2 linked regions of the Arabidopsis thaliana genome follow. The protein of the gene in region 1 interacts with the protein of each later gene in a pairwise test. Each region holds a gene or a part of one and is shown on either strand. Other genes may lie near its edges.

What was found.
Region 2: the proteins of SCAR2 (region 1) and BRK1 interact in binary tests that used the Arabidopsis thaliana proteins (3 or more experiments, as listed by UniProt).

What each region holds. Positions count from the first base shown.
Region 1 is NC_003071.7:16,092,573-16,102,762, forward strand, and holds SCAR2 (SCAR homolog 2), read left to right. Parts: upstream 1-2,662; 5' UTR 2,663-2,977; coding exon 2,978-3,132; intron 3,133-3,310; coding exon 3,311-3,474; intron 3,475-3,557; coding exon 3,558-3,681; intron 3,682-3,769; coding exon 3,770-3,899; intron 3,900-4,084; coding exon 4,085-4,146; intron 4,147-4,268; coding exon 4,269-7,584; intron 7,585-7,664; coding exon 7,665-7,751; intron 7,752-7,841; coding exon 7,842-7,949; intron 7,950-8,225; coding exon 8,226-8,279; 3' UTR 8,280-8,649; downstream 8,650-10,190. Other genes in the region: AT2G38430 (uncharacterized protein), read right to left, coding at 378-473, 555-824, 919-1,026, 1,194-1,274, 1,359-1,515, 1,601-1,769, 1,938-2,238; AT2G38450 (Sel1 repeat protein), read left to right, coding at 9,444-9,752, 9,911-9,980, 10,074-10,111.
Region 2 is NC_003071.7:9,620,496-9,626,432, forward strand, and holds BRK1 (BRICK1), read left to right. Parts: upstream 1-2,501; 5' UTR 2,502-2,787; coding exon 2,788-2,920; intron 2,921-3,318; coding exon 3,319-3,443; 3' UTR 3,444-3,840; downstream 3,841-5,937. Other genes in the region: AGL17 (AGAMOUS-like 17), read left to right, coding at 255-354, 458-499, 771-854, 1,012-1,146; AT2G22650 (FAD-dependent oxidoreductase family protein), read right to left, coding at 4,208-4,664, 4,914-5,040, 5,311-5,410, 5,483-5,629, 5,709-5,760, 5,840-5,937. UniProt on the Arabidopsis thaliana protein: Involved in regulation of actin and microtubule organization. Part of a WAVE complex that activates the Arp2/3 complex.

The DNA.
Region 1 (10,190 bases):
TCTGTTTGTTCAACGTTAATTGCACCAATTGTTCCACTGCTATCACTGAAACTTACCTTTAACCTTAATGTATACAAAGTTGACACATCCATCAAACTTGACTGTGATAATTGGGAATCTTTCAGTGTATTGTGTACTGCTTGGATTCCGATTATAGCTTTTAGGTAAAAGAAAATTTCAGTATGCAATGAGTCATTCATACACCATGTTCACATAAATGAAAGGACTGGTAACAAAACTTAACTTCTGTTTTTCTTGACACACACAAGTACAATCCTTGATAACCTTAAAACAACATTATTGTACCAAAACACAGTAGAAAGTAAAAGAAATTAAAAAGAAACTTGATAGAACAAGCAACATCATATGGTTCTTCATCATGTAAGATAGGCATCGCAATGCAAGAAGTCCCATATAGTTCCAAGAGCATCTCGTAGCATCTCCAAAACACAACCCCTCTCAGTGTTCTGCTCCTGCAGACCACAAGTATTATCACCATAAGCCTCGCACTTCCATTAGAGTTTCTAAAATAGTACAAGAGCACAATAATTTACCTGTATTTTAGTGTCGATGTCTTTAAGCGTCAAACTCACCTCCCTCTTGGTTTCCCCTGTTCCAGTCGTCTCATTGAATCTATCAGTCTCTCTTACCCTAAGCCTTAGAGTTTTATTTTTGTAGATAGTAGCTCTAACGTGACAAACTTCAAATTCTTTGTATCCATCTTCAGATAAAGCTTTACCAAACGGCCACCTTAAACCGCCTTTTACATTTGGATCAACAGTTGCTGATTCCAATAGCGCTTTAATGTCACCTATCTCTTTATCCTGCCGATCAAAGAAAGATCACACAACCTAAGTCTAAGAAGAGCATATTATTTATCCATATATTGTAAAATATATATACCAAACTTGAACTTACACTGAGATACGTTATTTCCCTCTTAGCGGTGAGCGTTAGTCTCATGTCGAGATTCTTATCAATGCATGACACATCAACAACCAAATGCCTTACAGGATTAAGGTCGACCTATATAAAAGCAAAACTCAAGATTCAAAGTTAGATATTAAAGGAAGACCAAGTAAAAATGTGACATCTATCAAATTCTTGTTTGTTTTTCTTGCTAGTCCGAGAACAATAAAGAAGAGATTTTACTATTGGTTGTAGTCACTACACACATAAAACTCGAGACTTGCCTTGTACATACTGAGCCGTCCATCTTCCTTACGGGTACATTTACAGTTGATGGTTGCATTAGGACGAGAATAATGCGATACCTAAAAATAGAAGCCAAACCCAAATTAGCACATTCAAATGACATTCGAAGTATAGATCTAAATCTAAGAAAATGAAACGAGTACCTTCACAGTGTATGTTTCCTTCTCCTTATCAATAGAGAATCCATGGCTTGGTACAACATTAGATTTTATGTGTTGTAAGTAAGACATTGGGAGATCAGTAGAGAACATCTTATTCAAGTTTTTTAGTGAACATTCAGCCACAGGACCAGCTTGACTCCTGGTTTAAAGTTGTATATGTTAGAAAAAATATAAACCCATTCCTGAAAACAGCAAAATGTGAGATCAGACGGTGAATCGCTTACCCATAGAAGAAAATTTTACCAAACCGAGCAACCAGTCTCGATACATGATGATGCTCCTTCATTTCAGTCTTAACTCGCTCATATGCCAACACAAGATCCTCCATAACCTTCTCAGCTACTAATAGCCACTGAGTTCTCTCATCCTTCCTCTCTCCAATATTCATATTCACTGAATATAAACATATAAAAAACCATACTCAACATAGATACAATGCATCTTCTTTTGGCAAAAACGATAATAGCACAAACAAAATAGTTAATAGTATTGTTTATTTCAGCATCTAGATGATATTCATTTTGTCAAACACATAGCCAAAGTCTACTAATAGTTTCTTACCATTTTGGACATTGTTGTTCATCAGTATTGAAGGCTTTTCTCCTTTTCTACACTCGACAGAATCTGAGGACAAGGGCACAAACTTAACATACGAAGGAACATCGTCCTCAATTCCATTTGAACCAACAAGAAACCATTTGGAAATGGAATCTCCTGAATAGATAATCTTGTTGCGTTTAACACTGCTAGTGCTACTCTTAAAGTCAAGGTTCTTCTTGAATTTTGTAACAAGAGAATCTGGAACAGGGGTAGGCTTTGTCGGATCCTTCGAATGCCTCTTATGTGGTGGAATATAAGACATGTCTAAACCTGAAACTCACAACAACATCAACCAAAAACGATTTCAAGATAAAACAAAAAAATCTCAAACTTGGAGCTCAAATAAGAATTGCTTTACAACGAGCGAAGAAGAATATAAAGACAGAAACTTTAAGGTGAGAAGAGAGAAGTCGAATCATACCTGTAGGCTGTAGTCGAAACTCAACGTCTTTTAATATTCCTGCAGAGAAGTAACAGTGACACTCAAATAGACTCTTCGCTCCCTTTTTAATCTTTCAATTAACTCTCATCCGTTTCTCAAAAATGACTTTAATTAGATTGTGTTTGGTTTCGATAGGGATCACAATTGGACAAACCTCAAGCCTGAAACTATCAGGTTCCCGAGGGGTTTGGTCTTAAATGCAGGTTTTATTGCAACAAGGTTTTGGTTTTGTAAGAATTTTTCACTAAAAGTAACAATTTTTTAAGTATTTCTGGCTATCGAAAAATAGAAAAAGAAATGTTTTCTTAAAAAGTCTTTTAGCGTTGAGGTTCTCAGACTCTCTCTCTCTCTCTTTGCCCCTACCTATATCCGCCGTCTTGAATCCACAGAAAGTCCGTTTTAGTTTCCAGCTAAGTGATGTCGTCACATATCTAATGGTGGTCGGTCACTACTTAAATGAAGACAGAGAAGCTTTTCTAGTCTTCTTCTTTCTAAAGTTCTTACCTTTAGAATTTGAACAAAAGTATCAGCGAGCTGATCAGACAGAGAAGCTCAAACAATGCCGTTGACGAGGTACCAATCTCGTAACGAGTATGGATTAGCAGATCCGGATCTGTATCAAGCTGCTGATAAAGATGACCCTGAAGCTCTGCTTGAAGGAGTCGCTATGGCTGGTCTCGTTGGCATTTTGCGTCAACTCGGTGATCTCGCTGAGTAAGTTTCTCTCCAATCGAAATTTCTCTAATTGATCTCTAAGCGCATCGAATTCGAAGTTTTGGAATCCGTTGTTGTAAAGCGACAATTTTGATGAATCTGGATTTGGTTGTGGAAGTGGAAAAAGTTTTGATTTTTTGATGGAATTGTCTTTAAATTCATGTAATTTGTGATGAAGGTTTGCTGCTGAGATGTTTCATGACTTGCACGAAGAAGTAATGGCTACTGCTTCTAGAAGCCATGGTTTAATGGCTCGTGTGCAACAGTTGGAAGCAGAGTTTCCTTCTATAGAGAAGGCATTACTGTGTCAAACCGATCATTCGCCGTTTTTCTCTAACAAAGGTTAGATTGCTATGAACATTCATGATCTGGTCAGCTACTATGATGTTGGATTATTTCAACATGATTCTGTGACTCTATTTCAGGTGTGGAATGGCATCCGAATCTACAATTGGAACAGAGTGTGGTTACAAGTGGTGACTTACCTCGTTGTGTGATGGATTCTTATGAGGAATGTCGAGGTCCTCCAAGGCTATTTCTTCTGGACAAGTATGATTTAGCCTTGTTTGATAGGACTTCTTCTTTAGTCGTTTGTTAGAGAAGGATATATGTAACATCTTCTGATGGTTTTGATTAGGTTTGATATTTCCGGAGCTGGGGCTTGTTTGAAACGCTACACCGATCCATCGTTTGTTAGGCTTGAAACGTCTTCATATGAAGAATCATGGGATGATATTCAGAGAGAGAAAAAATCACAGAAAGCAAAGGTACTAGCTTCTTAGTTCAGGTTGTAGCTTATGGGTTGCAGTGTGATCCTTCTTGGTTATATTTTGGTTTCCATTACATGGTAGATTTTCTGAATAGTAGATTTTCTTATGCTCATGGTGTTTTGAATGTGTAATCTTACCTTCCATTTTGTGATTCTCATAGTTTTCCTTCTATTCTCTTGTAGAGGAGAGCATCTCAGTGGAGGAATGGAGGGACACCTGAAAATGCATTATCATCACATGCCAAGTGAGTATTATCTATTTTATGTCTTGTGTGTTTGTCATTTCTGTTATGATATATATGTAGTTCCTATATTGGTATCTGACTGTGACTAAAAATGGCTGGTTTCAATTATTCAACTGGCACAGATTGCATGAATTGTTTTTGGAGGAGCATTTAGAGGCTCATCATTCAGATCCAGCGCGCGTTGTGAAGTTGAAAACCAGAAAGCTAGATGGGTGTTCCCTTATTTCAAAATCAGGGGAAAGCTACATGGAGAAATTTGTGCAGACACGTGTAGATAGTAAGATAAGTTATGAAATAATTACCCAAAACCCCGGATTGTTGACATGGAATATGGATAGTGCTAGAGATGTAGTAACCGATATACCTGAAATCAGTATGGTGGGTGCTATGGATAAGTCTCATGGAGGAAGCAGAGCAGAGGTTTCATTCCCAAGTGAGCAGGAAAATGTGGCAAATGTTAACATGAATGGGGGTTTTATTGAAAAAGATATAGAGACAGTGCCTGAATCTACATACAATGAGGTCCGTGGAACAACTATTACACAGGATTCACAAACGGTTTTGAACGGGAAGCCAGGATTTTTTCAACAGAGGAGTTATTCTGAAGATTTAACCAGTGAGGCTGACAATTATGTGGACGCACCAGCCACCATGGAGTCGGAAACAGAAACAGACGATGAGTGTAGACCTAAGAGTAGATCAGATACTTTGAAGGATGGGAACCATCATATATATTCTGATGCGGTTGAAGAGAGAATGGAGGACCCACCTCAGTTTTCATTTTCTCATTCAAATGGAAACACACCAGTTTCGGAAAATGGGCGAAGCTCGTTTGGGAAAAAGAGCACTAGTTATTCTTACTCGGACACTGCAAGCATATCCATTGATGATCAATCTGATGGAGAGAAACTTTCGGGATGTTTACCTTCTACTTCTAGTTTTAAGAGTGAGTTGGTGGATTCTATGTCTCACGTTACTCCTGAAGCCAACAAAGTGTCTCATGACTTGAATGTTCAGGAATCAGTTAGTAGCAGCAATGTAGATGGCCAGACATCATTAAGTTCGAATGGTACATGTTCAAGTCCAAGGCCAGTCTCTCAGAATGATCAATCATGTTCACTGACAGTTCAATCTTTAGCATCAGAAGTCGTTGAAACTTCTCCAGAACTTGTTAGGCTTGATCTAATGAAGGGAGGCAATGATGGAAGAAAGGTGGATCCATTCGATTCTTCAAAATCTTGTGCATCTTTTGATGCTAAAAACTCTGACTTGCCTTCTGAAACTTCATCAATTAGTTCAACTTCTGAAGGAAGCAGATGTGATAGTACCATTGAGAAGAACTGTATGGTTGCTTCAAATTTAGTAAACTCAGGCACTAGTCCTCAAGCGTTTGTTGATAGTCAAACTGGTAAACAGTTACCTATCGCTGATACTGATTTTGAGACAAACTCTATAGTTGCTTGTTCTGAAGTTTTAGCAAACTCAGGCAGCGATCCTGAAGAACGTGATGGTCGTTGCCTAACAGGAAAGCTGGTACCTTGCTCAGCTGGGGTGGGGATGGAAGTTTCCCCTGATACGCCCTCTAAAGTCTGTGGTCCAAGTTCAGCTGATGGAATTCACTTAAAAGATACTCTGGATGATGAAACCGATTGTGTTTCAGTGACTAATGTTGTTGTTGACGTTGATTCTAAAAATTCTGTTGCCGACGTTGGTTCTCAAAGTTCAGTTGCTGACATTGATTCTCAAAGTTCAGTTGCTGAGATCTCCGATGAGCATTCATGTGCCTTTGGCAACACGGCTGATGTGTCTGTTTCAGAGTCCCATGAAGACACACTAGAGAATGGAATGTCCGTGCCTTCTGATTTTAACTCGGGAGTAGAGAAATTGGCGGGAGATGCTTCACCTACTTGTAGCAAATGCGATGACCATATCTCTCATGAAGGTTTTCATGACCTTTCAGGGCTGGACAACGCAACCACAGACATTGTCCCGAACGTTGAGCTTGATGTGTCTGATAATGACAATGACACTTCCAGTGGTGGTGTTAATCATGCCGTTAGTCTGTCATCGACTCGTGGGAAGGGTTCTCTGCCTTGGATTTCGACCAATACTTATCAATCGTCTTCTGATGCTGGAGAGATTTTCCATGATACAGTTGTAGAGTCTGACGGGACACTACTGGAAGACAATAATCCAGAGTCGGAAATAAAAATGCATAAAAGCCCTCTGGAAGTGTCTTCAGAAGGTCTGAGTACTGAACCAGACAACAAGGACGTAGAAAGTATTGAATCTACAAGTCCCAAGCCATCTCTGGATCAAAGGAACAGGGACACAGAAACCAAATCTCCTGGTGAGAGCATTCTTGATGATAATTGCATAGATTCCACACAAGTGTATAATCTGAACCTTTTAGAGAGTGAGGCTATCGACCAGGCAGTTAGAGAGCAAACATCTTATGCAAGCCATGAAGTTGCAGATGAGGAATTGCTGCAGTCAAATGTTTTCAGGGGCTTAGAGTTTGAACCACAATCAGCAGGCTTAGAATTTGCACCACAATCTGCAGGTATAGAATTGAACAGACCTAAGCAAGAGTTGAATCTGGATCCTACTTTTCCTAGCTTTGGTTTTATCCCTGAGACTATTCCGCCCAATCCAGAGGACATGCCACCCCTTCCTCCTATGCAATGGCTTATTGGAAAGGTTCCACATTCTTTTCCTACCTTCATGGGGGAATCAGTCGAAACCAGTAGTTCTGCTTTATCAGCGGCACCACCCATTGGTTCTAGCTTGAATGTTCAAATTGGGTCTCCACCATCAGAGCTATCTGTATCTTTAGGAAGTGACGAATCAGAACGACTTCCTGGAGGGTTTGTTCACAATGCATCAGAAAAGCCATTGCAATCATCCATTCAGTTCCCAACCATGAGCACTGATTTGAATAGTCAATACGACAGTTCTGAGCTCCCTACAATACCTTATCAGGAGTGCATAGAGGATTTTGGTTCTGAGGAGAACAATCTTTTGGCTGACCATGCAGCTCAGAACCACGAGCTCGTTTACTCTCAAGCGTCGTCATTGCAGCTGCCTCAGGTTAAACACGAAGATTTCAAGGACGATGCTGATGTGCATGAATCTCAAAGTTCAAGCGATGATCACCATTGTCCTGAAACCAAATCCCTGACGCCAACTCAATCAACAAAGGTAGAAGATAAGGGTCATTCGGTTCCTGATGCTTCAAATGCAGAAACTGCAGAATCATCAAACACGTCAGTTCAGAAGATAAATCCTGTTTCAGTGGGAGATGCTATGTGGCCTGTTAGCTGTTTCTCTGTGGCACCTACCTTGGACACATATAAGACAGAAGTGGTCCCTACGGTTAGGCTTCCTAGGCCAAGAAGTCCGCTTGTCGATGCTGTTGCAGCTCATGACAGACGCAAGGTACAAAATTTCATCTTGTCTGCAATACCATGCCTTTGCTAAGATTATGTCTCTAATCACTTGTTCTGATGATTTGCCAGATGAAGAAAGTCTCTGAGATGGTCCATCCACCAATCAAATCAAAGCAAGATGACAAAGATTCGTTGCTTGCACAAATACGAAACAAGGTAGCACATGTTGATCATGTAAAATCCCAGATGGTCCTGTGAACAGAATTTTGTATTTGGAATTTTATGAGTTGTGTTTTGTTTATGCAGTCCGTCAATCTAAAGCCGGCAGTAACAACACGACCCAGCATCCAGACTGGTCCTAGAACAGACTTAAGGGTAGCTGCAATCTTAGAGAAAGCAAATACAATACGCATGGTTCGTTACTCTCTTTCCATCTCCTTCAAAGATAGTAAATGTTTTCAAGTTTTTTCACCTTTTTCTGTGGTCCTTGCTAATCGTAGAGGCTTCATGTCAAAGCATTTCAATTTGACATGAAAATCTGAGGAGTTTAGTCTCACATTATGTCTTAGATTGGATCCGAAGCAGTCTCTTAAGTGGAAACAATGAATTATAAGCCTGATCATAGACCAAATAAAATATCACTTTTTCTCTATCGCACACACATCTAAAACCGGTTGAACACTGGTGCAGGCAATGGCTGGAAGCGACGAGGATGAAGATTCAGATAGTTGGAGTGATTCTTGAAATCGATGATCGTTGGCTTTTCCGTGGTGTTCGTTCTTGTATCATGATGAGTGCGCAAGCACTTGGAGTCAGGTAGGTTATACAATCTCTATTTCAGACATATAACATTAAATACATACAGTCATTGGTTATTTATATATGTATGTATGTATATTGTGTACTGTTTTATAGGTGTGTGTATGTTGTAATGTAAGTAGATTCCGAAATTTGCAGTAGTTTTACGGAAATTTGTGTGTAGGAATGTTTCGTTCTTTTTTTTAGCTCATAGAACATTCTTTTAGTAGGCTATGTATGTGTATTTGAATACATACATAGATATGTATTGTGTGTTCTCAATCATTTGCAGTGTCCTTTGACTGTATATTTGGTCATTTGGATAACGAATATCTATGAGAATCAGCTAGTTAGTGCACTGCACACACTTCAAAGGTAATATTTGGTTTCTAGAGGACTGAAATGATATGATGGTTTGCTTGCTTAGTACCAATAGGATGATCTTCACAAAAATCATTTGCAGGCATAACTGAGTTTCAATTTGAACCCAAATAGAGTAGTTGGATCGAGAAGGAGGATTGGAAGTATGGCAATCCTCAATCCTCATATGTAAATCAGTTGGAAGCCTACTTAATACTTGATCTCTATTCTCGGCTGGCACCACCTGTATCCTGTCTGAATACTTGATTATCGGGATCAGACCACATCGTCCGCGCAAAATACCACCCGGAACAGCACCACCATAAGCAACAGCCTCGACCGGGTTCACACCTGAGACGTTAGGGCTAAAAGAAACTATATGAGAGTGAAAAATCCTGAGATATCATTCTTGATTACCGTTATAGTGTCTGAACTCAAAACCTTAGACGAACTCATGCTACTAAAAAAAACAAGGAGACGAGAGCGAAAGAATGCAATTGTGAAGAATTTATGATGGCCTTTATATAGACAGAGCTCTTTATTCAGTAACCGTTATGAAATAGCAAGGAGCTAGTCTTAATTTCTAGTGGGCTAGGGAAAAAAATAAAAAAATTCTAGTGGGCTTAAGAGCTAGGCCCATAAGATATTTTAATATTATTTTATACAATGAGACCAAACCAAAACCAAACAAGAGATTGAGAAGAAAACCGATTTTTTCCTTTTATTTATTTTTATGTTTATAAATTAAAAATGGGAAAATCGATTCCCGTCAAAACAGGGCTAAGAGGAGCTTCCGCAGCAGTAGCTGGATTCATCAAATCCTCAAAACCGATCCGACCCATTTCCTCCATGGACAGTTCCGACAAAGATTCATCATCCACCACCACCACCAGCGAAACTACACGACGTTTCGTTCCGCTTTCATCGGTGGTTTCTGATTGTGCGAAGCGGTGGTTTAAAGACACTCTTGAGGAAGCTAAAGCTGGGAACATCACTATGCAGGTTTTGTTAGGTCAGATGTATTACTCTGGGTATGGAGTCCCTAAGGATGCTAGAAAGGTTTCGTCTTTATTCCCTCCCTTTCAATCTCTTCTTTTCCAAGTTTTAGGTTTTTTTAGTTTGGTTGATTTGAAAATTCTCTAATTTGATTAGATTGATTTGCAAGTTTCTTCTTTTTTAGGTTTTTGAATTTGATTCTGTGTTTTATTAATGATTAGGGGAGACTTTGGATTACGAAAGCATCAAGAGTTCGTTCTTCAGTGTGGAAAGTGATAGATAAACGACCAGGTCTTTGTTTTATTACATGTCAAAATTGGTTTATCAACAAATTGGTTCTTTTTTGCTTTTGGATATGAATTTGTTTTTTTTGTGATTTCTCAGGTTACAACGCAAGTGATTCAGATTCAGAGTCTGATTAGCATGTCCTGATCGAGAGAGCTTGTGTTTGTTCTGTTTTGTTTCAATCTTGGATGATCCAAGTTCCAACAATGAACAATA
Region 2 (5,937 bases), 6.5 Mb from region 1:
ACATTCTAGTACTATACTCCGGACCTCTAGCATTTTATTTCTAAAATTTTCTATGTAAACTTTTTCCTCCGGATTGTACAACCAATCACTTATGTGTTTAAGGGTAAGAAAAATATGTATATGTTGAAAACTCGACCATGATTGTTCTGTCGGACTGGTTCATTTCTGAAATTAGTCGAGCGGATTAAATTGGTTGTAGTTGGCCATGTCCGTTCTACATATATTAACTGCAGTAATGTTTTGTGATAAATCAGGCAACTAACGGGAGTGGAATTAAATGGTTTGAGCGTTAAGGAGTTACAAAACATAGAGAGTCAACTTGAAATGAGTTTACGTGGAATTCGTATGAAAAGGGTAATATATGAATGCTCTAGGCCTCTAGCTGGTTCGCATGATGCTTAAAAATTGATAATAGAGCATTGAAGTTTAAGCTAATTATTCTTTTCGAACCTTGCAGGAACAAATTTTGACCAATGAAATTAAAGAGCTAACCAGAAAGGTAAACTATATGATATAACACATGATTATTAAAAATCAGACTCGGATGTTGTTGTTTGTGTTTACATTGTAAACACACATAATTTGCAGATGTAAAATGCAAACGATATTTTTAGTTTCTTCTTCGGTTTGTGTTTGCATTTGCAATTTACAAAAAAATCTGTTCTTTGAGAAAAGATACTAAAGATGTTGTGTTTAAGTTTGAAACGCATTATTAATCAATGTTATCATTTCTAGTTTTCAGGTTCTTATAAGTGTTTTATCTTTTGCAGAGGAATCTTGTTCATCATGAAAACCTCGAATTGTCGAGAAAAGTACAAAGGATTCATCAAGAAAATGTCGAACTATACAAGAAGGTAAAATAGAAACACAAACTTCATTACTTCAAGTTGCAGCTAACAAATCCTTTAAATCAAATTAATCTCCTAGTTGAAACTAGACAAATCTCAATAATTAATTATTGAGATCGTACGTAGTTACAAAAGTGTGTTGTGGTAATGGTCTTGCATACAGGCTTATGGAACGTCGAACACAAATGGATTGGGACATCATGAGCTAGTAGATGCAGTTTATGAATCCCATGCACAGGTTAGGCTGCAGCTAAGCCAGCCTGAGCAGTCCCATTATAAGACATCTTCAAACAGCTAAGATCATATAAGAGATATATAACAAATTGTTCGTTCTTGATTATCTCAAAACCCTTTCAAATATATATACGTGCATATTATATATGAAGACTCGTTTGACTATGTCAATATATATGTTTTCATGCAGGAGTAAGTGTGAGTGTAATCATGTCGGAGAGCAAACCAAAGGTTTGATTTGTACGATATATACTTATATATGGTCTCAAGTGAAAGCAATGGAACAGCTTCTCGATTATATTCTTTTTAGCTTTCACATTTGGTTTTAAGTACATAATTAAGACATACATGAACTACATATATAATATATATTTTAACTAAAAAAATTGAGTGTGATATAGGTTGGTTTAGTATATAAGCTATACTTTACCTAAAGTAAAATCAGAGCTCACTTTTGTGTGTGTGTGTTTGTTTTTGTTAGTCATTGAGATTTTTAATAAAGGGAGATTCATTTGAGATGATTGCTTCTATAGTTTAGAGAAAATTTGCAAAACAAAAAGAGTATACTATATATTGTCGTTTCAGGTAAAACGATGCAAAAAGTCAGCCTAGAAATTAACGAAGTTACATGACCATGACCAACATATGAAAACTGCATTGTTTAACATATCTCTGAAAAGATTATGTTTTTGGTCGTATTAAAATAACAAAAACGAAGTAAAAAAAATCTCAGATGTGAAATCAAACTAAGAGGAGCTAGGAGAAGAAAAATAAACCCTAATTTCCTTGGGATGTAAATTTTCACCGGTCGTACAATATAGGATTTTATGTGATTCAAAATTTTAGTCCAAAAGTAGAGGGTTATAAGTTTCTCGGTTTGAATAAATTAATTTAGTGATTTTGATTTAGCGCTTAAATTTGATTGTAAACACAGTTCACTCTATTATATACTATTGTCCAATATTTTGCATACTGTAATCCACTTTTAACCTACAAAAATATTGATATAATTAGTCCGGTTTACTGCTAATTGAACAACCATTCAAAATTTGATTTGTTGTATAGACAATGAGTTATGCCTCATCAGAAATAATCACAACTTAAAATTATTCTAGTATGATGAAATATGTGTTCTGTTTTGTAAATATTATAGATACAACCTATAAATAGTTATACAAGTTACAACCAATGAGCATACCGAATAATTCACTTGACTTTAAAACAAACGTATCTTGAATTCAAAGATTAAAGATTGGTTGTAATAGTATATATGCACGAAGAACCAAGAATTGCTCAATTTTTAATTGATAGTGACATTTGAATAGAACGAAAAAGATTGAACACTAACTAAGCAATCTACCAAAATATTAAACCAAACCACATAATATCAAATATCTTAAATTATAAAATAGCCCCTATATTTCCTCTTTATCTCATAAAACACCCGTTTCTTCTTCTAATCTTAACTTCTTCTTCATCAATCACACATCATCTAAAAGAAAAACAACCTACGATAAAATTCAGAAACTTTTTCTCTGAGACACCAAAAAAGGAAGGTGACCCTCCTTCTCTAATCGATTGCTTAATCATTTCTGCCGTTGGATTGAATCGAAAAAGGGCGAATTATTTAAAAAGCTTCAGAATTTGAAATCGAAATCTGTGAGTACTGTTGTGTTTGTGGAAGAGAGAGTTTTGGGGTTTAATAATGGCGAAAGCTGGAGGGATCACGAACGCAGTAAACGTAGGAATCGCTGTTCAAGCAGATTGGGAGAATCGAGAATTTATCTCACATATCTCTCTTAATGTTCGTCGTCTCTTCGAATTCCTTGTTCAATTTGGTAAACCTCACTCTCTCACTTATTTCTCTGTGTTGGGTTTTGAATTCAATTGACTAATTTTGGAGTTTTCTCGATTTCGTATTTGCTAAATTTAGAAACTTTGTTTTAGAGTTTTTGTCAAAGTAAGGTTTTTGATGATTGGGAGATTTGATTTTGGTGGTTGGTTAGTGAAAAATTTCACCTTTTTAATTGTTGAGATGATCAGATTTCATTTGCATTTGTATGGTCTTAGATCCATGTGCTAAGAGAGATCTTTGTAATGATCTCTTTGATCTTCTCAGCTTCAATTCTAGCTGGTTTTAGACAATGTTGTGTGTGATGAAACTTTCTTTTATGAGCTAATTTGATTATCGAAGTCATTGATGTCTGTGAGTTTGTAATTTCTCTGTGTGTTTCAGAATCAACCACAAAGAGCAAGTTGGCTTCTTTGAATGAGAAGTTGGATCTGTTGGAACGTCGCTTGGAAATGCTGGAGGTGCAAGTAAGTACCGCGACAGCAAATCCTTCTCTGTTTGCGACGTGAAACACCGTAGACGATATCGAAATCGAAACCGAGCCTGATCCTTTGGCTTTAACAGAAGAAGTCTGTTGTTGAATGTGTACCATTGAATGATTCTTTCTTTCTTCACATAGCTGTGGTAGTAAGTAAACTAGTAGCTTAAAATATGAATCTATTCATAAATATGTGTATCTTTTTTCTGTCCATTAAGATCTCTTTTGAATGACAAGTCATTTCGTTGAACTCTTGAAGTTTTTGCTTTCTTCTGCTGTTGATTTATAAACTTTGCAGAGGTACCCTTTTCATCTTCTATGCATCGGATTTGTATATTCGTCTTTTCTCTTAAAGTGGAACACATGTAAAACGCTCTTGTTGCCCATTTTTTCTTTTTCATCAATGGAGGAAGAAAAAACCGAAAAAGCTCACATCTCTTTTCCTCCATTAGATTCTGTCTGCATTTGTGACTCACATTGTTTTTTTGAGTTCCACTCGGATTCATCGAGACCGACCTAATCGTCTCCACCCGTACGTACTATGAGATCACCCCACGGATGCCTACGATATCCAGGGGTCGCGGACCAACCATAGAACCAAGCCATTGTTGAAAATATTCTGTTTTACGTACCTAAACCACAAAGTTCTGTAGACTATGGATGATTGACCATTTTTAAAAAAATATTCTGAACTCAGTTTTTGTTTTGTCTGAATTGAGATTTGCTGTGTTGACCAAGCTTCCAAGCTTGAAGCTGCAAACAAGAGTGAGAACTGAGAAGTAAACAATGGTACTCTTATTGTCTGTTTTTCTTCCAAGAAGTTAGTTCAGAAGGAAGTAATTCTTCATTGCAACTTAAAACAGCTTTAGACATGAGTTTCCCAAGCCAAGCATGATAGAGTAGTCCCCTTGATCCGAGCCCTGAAAATACCCAGAAGTTGCAAAACTGACCAGCACCTATGAGCTGATTAACACATCCCAAGAGCGGCAGTGATCCATGGCTTGTGACAGGTGGCATTGCTCTCAAGCCCGCCCTTGCTCCCGCAAATTCCCACTTTTCTATGTCTGGATAAACTGCACTTGCTTTCGGAAGAAGCTCGTTGAGAGCTCTTGAAGCTTCCTCTGCTGGGACATCCGATGAATAATTTCTTGATTGCCATTCCCATGTGGATCCCATGTGCAGATTACGGGGTCCCTGAACCGCGAGCCACGCATCTGACAAGATCGAAGGTCCATCGTCCGGGTAACTTCCTCTGCATTACATAATTTAATAAAGAAAAGCTTTTGAACAGGAAAAAAAAACCACAAAGATAAGTAGCTGAGCTCAACATAGTAATGTGCGAGTATGCGACTACATCAACACATACTTTCTTTTTTTGGAAGGTCTCACACTAAAAAAAAACAGAGAAGAATTGTACAATTGAAAGAGGATGTAAAGTTGACATCAGAGTTGAAAAAGAATACTAGGAATGGATAACTATAGGCGCAAGGTCTCGCAATACCTGGCACTCTCGTGTAACTGCATATGAGTAATGACACCTCGGCATGTCCTTAAAGGGAGCTTTCCAGTAAGCCCTGGAAGAAAGTCTACCTTGGATCCAAGACATATTACTACTGCATCATATCCTCCTACATATAACAACACAAAAGCTGTTCATACTAAATTTCTGACCATGCGGATGAGAACCTCAGAGAAAAAGCATGGATACTATACTCTTGGATTGTTAACGGCTATCTAAATTGTGTTTACGGTCTCTAGATTTAAGTTTATCACATCAGTTTTCATGCCTGTGAAACTTGATCCAAAAGGACTAGTTGTGGTTGGAGGATGTTTCTATAAAGCTTACGCAAGTTCCAGAATTAAACAAAAATATAAGAATATAGTTCAAAATCATTCACCTTCAAGTTCAAGCACATCAGTTATAGACTTGTTCACCAAAGTTATGTTTTTCCTTCCCAGTGATGTTTTTGCTGAGCTCTGGCATGCTAGAAAGAGTGCCTAGAGAAGGGAGAAAAACTCGGTAAAGAAAAACGCAAAAGCTTGGTGCTAACATATTTGTGTTGTCTTAACCTGGAGATATCGGTGCGGATTAACATTCATAGCTCCTGGAAAATAGAAGGCGCAGTTCAAAGGCAGGTATAGATTGGGGACGAGATTTTGTGCACCATCTTTGTCAATAGTCTCTACTACACAACTAGCAAGACAGTTTCGAGCATTCTAATCGCATAAGTAATAAACAGTAAAACTACGGGTTTAGTTAATATTTCAAAGGTATCTAAGTCGAGTTCAAACTTACATCACTCATTAAATCTAAAGTCTTGGCATTTGTTGCTGGTCTCAAGATTCCCCTAAAGCAAGAAGAACTTGGTCAAACTAAAGTATCATTGAATGAACATTTCAAGTTATTAGTGTTATTGAGATTGGTACCTTCTTCGAACCATAAAATTTCCGAAACTCTCGCTAAAGTCTCTGTTCTCCGTAGATTGGTAACTAGAAGAAGCAGCTGTTTCAGCCACATTTAAGAG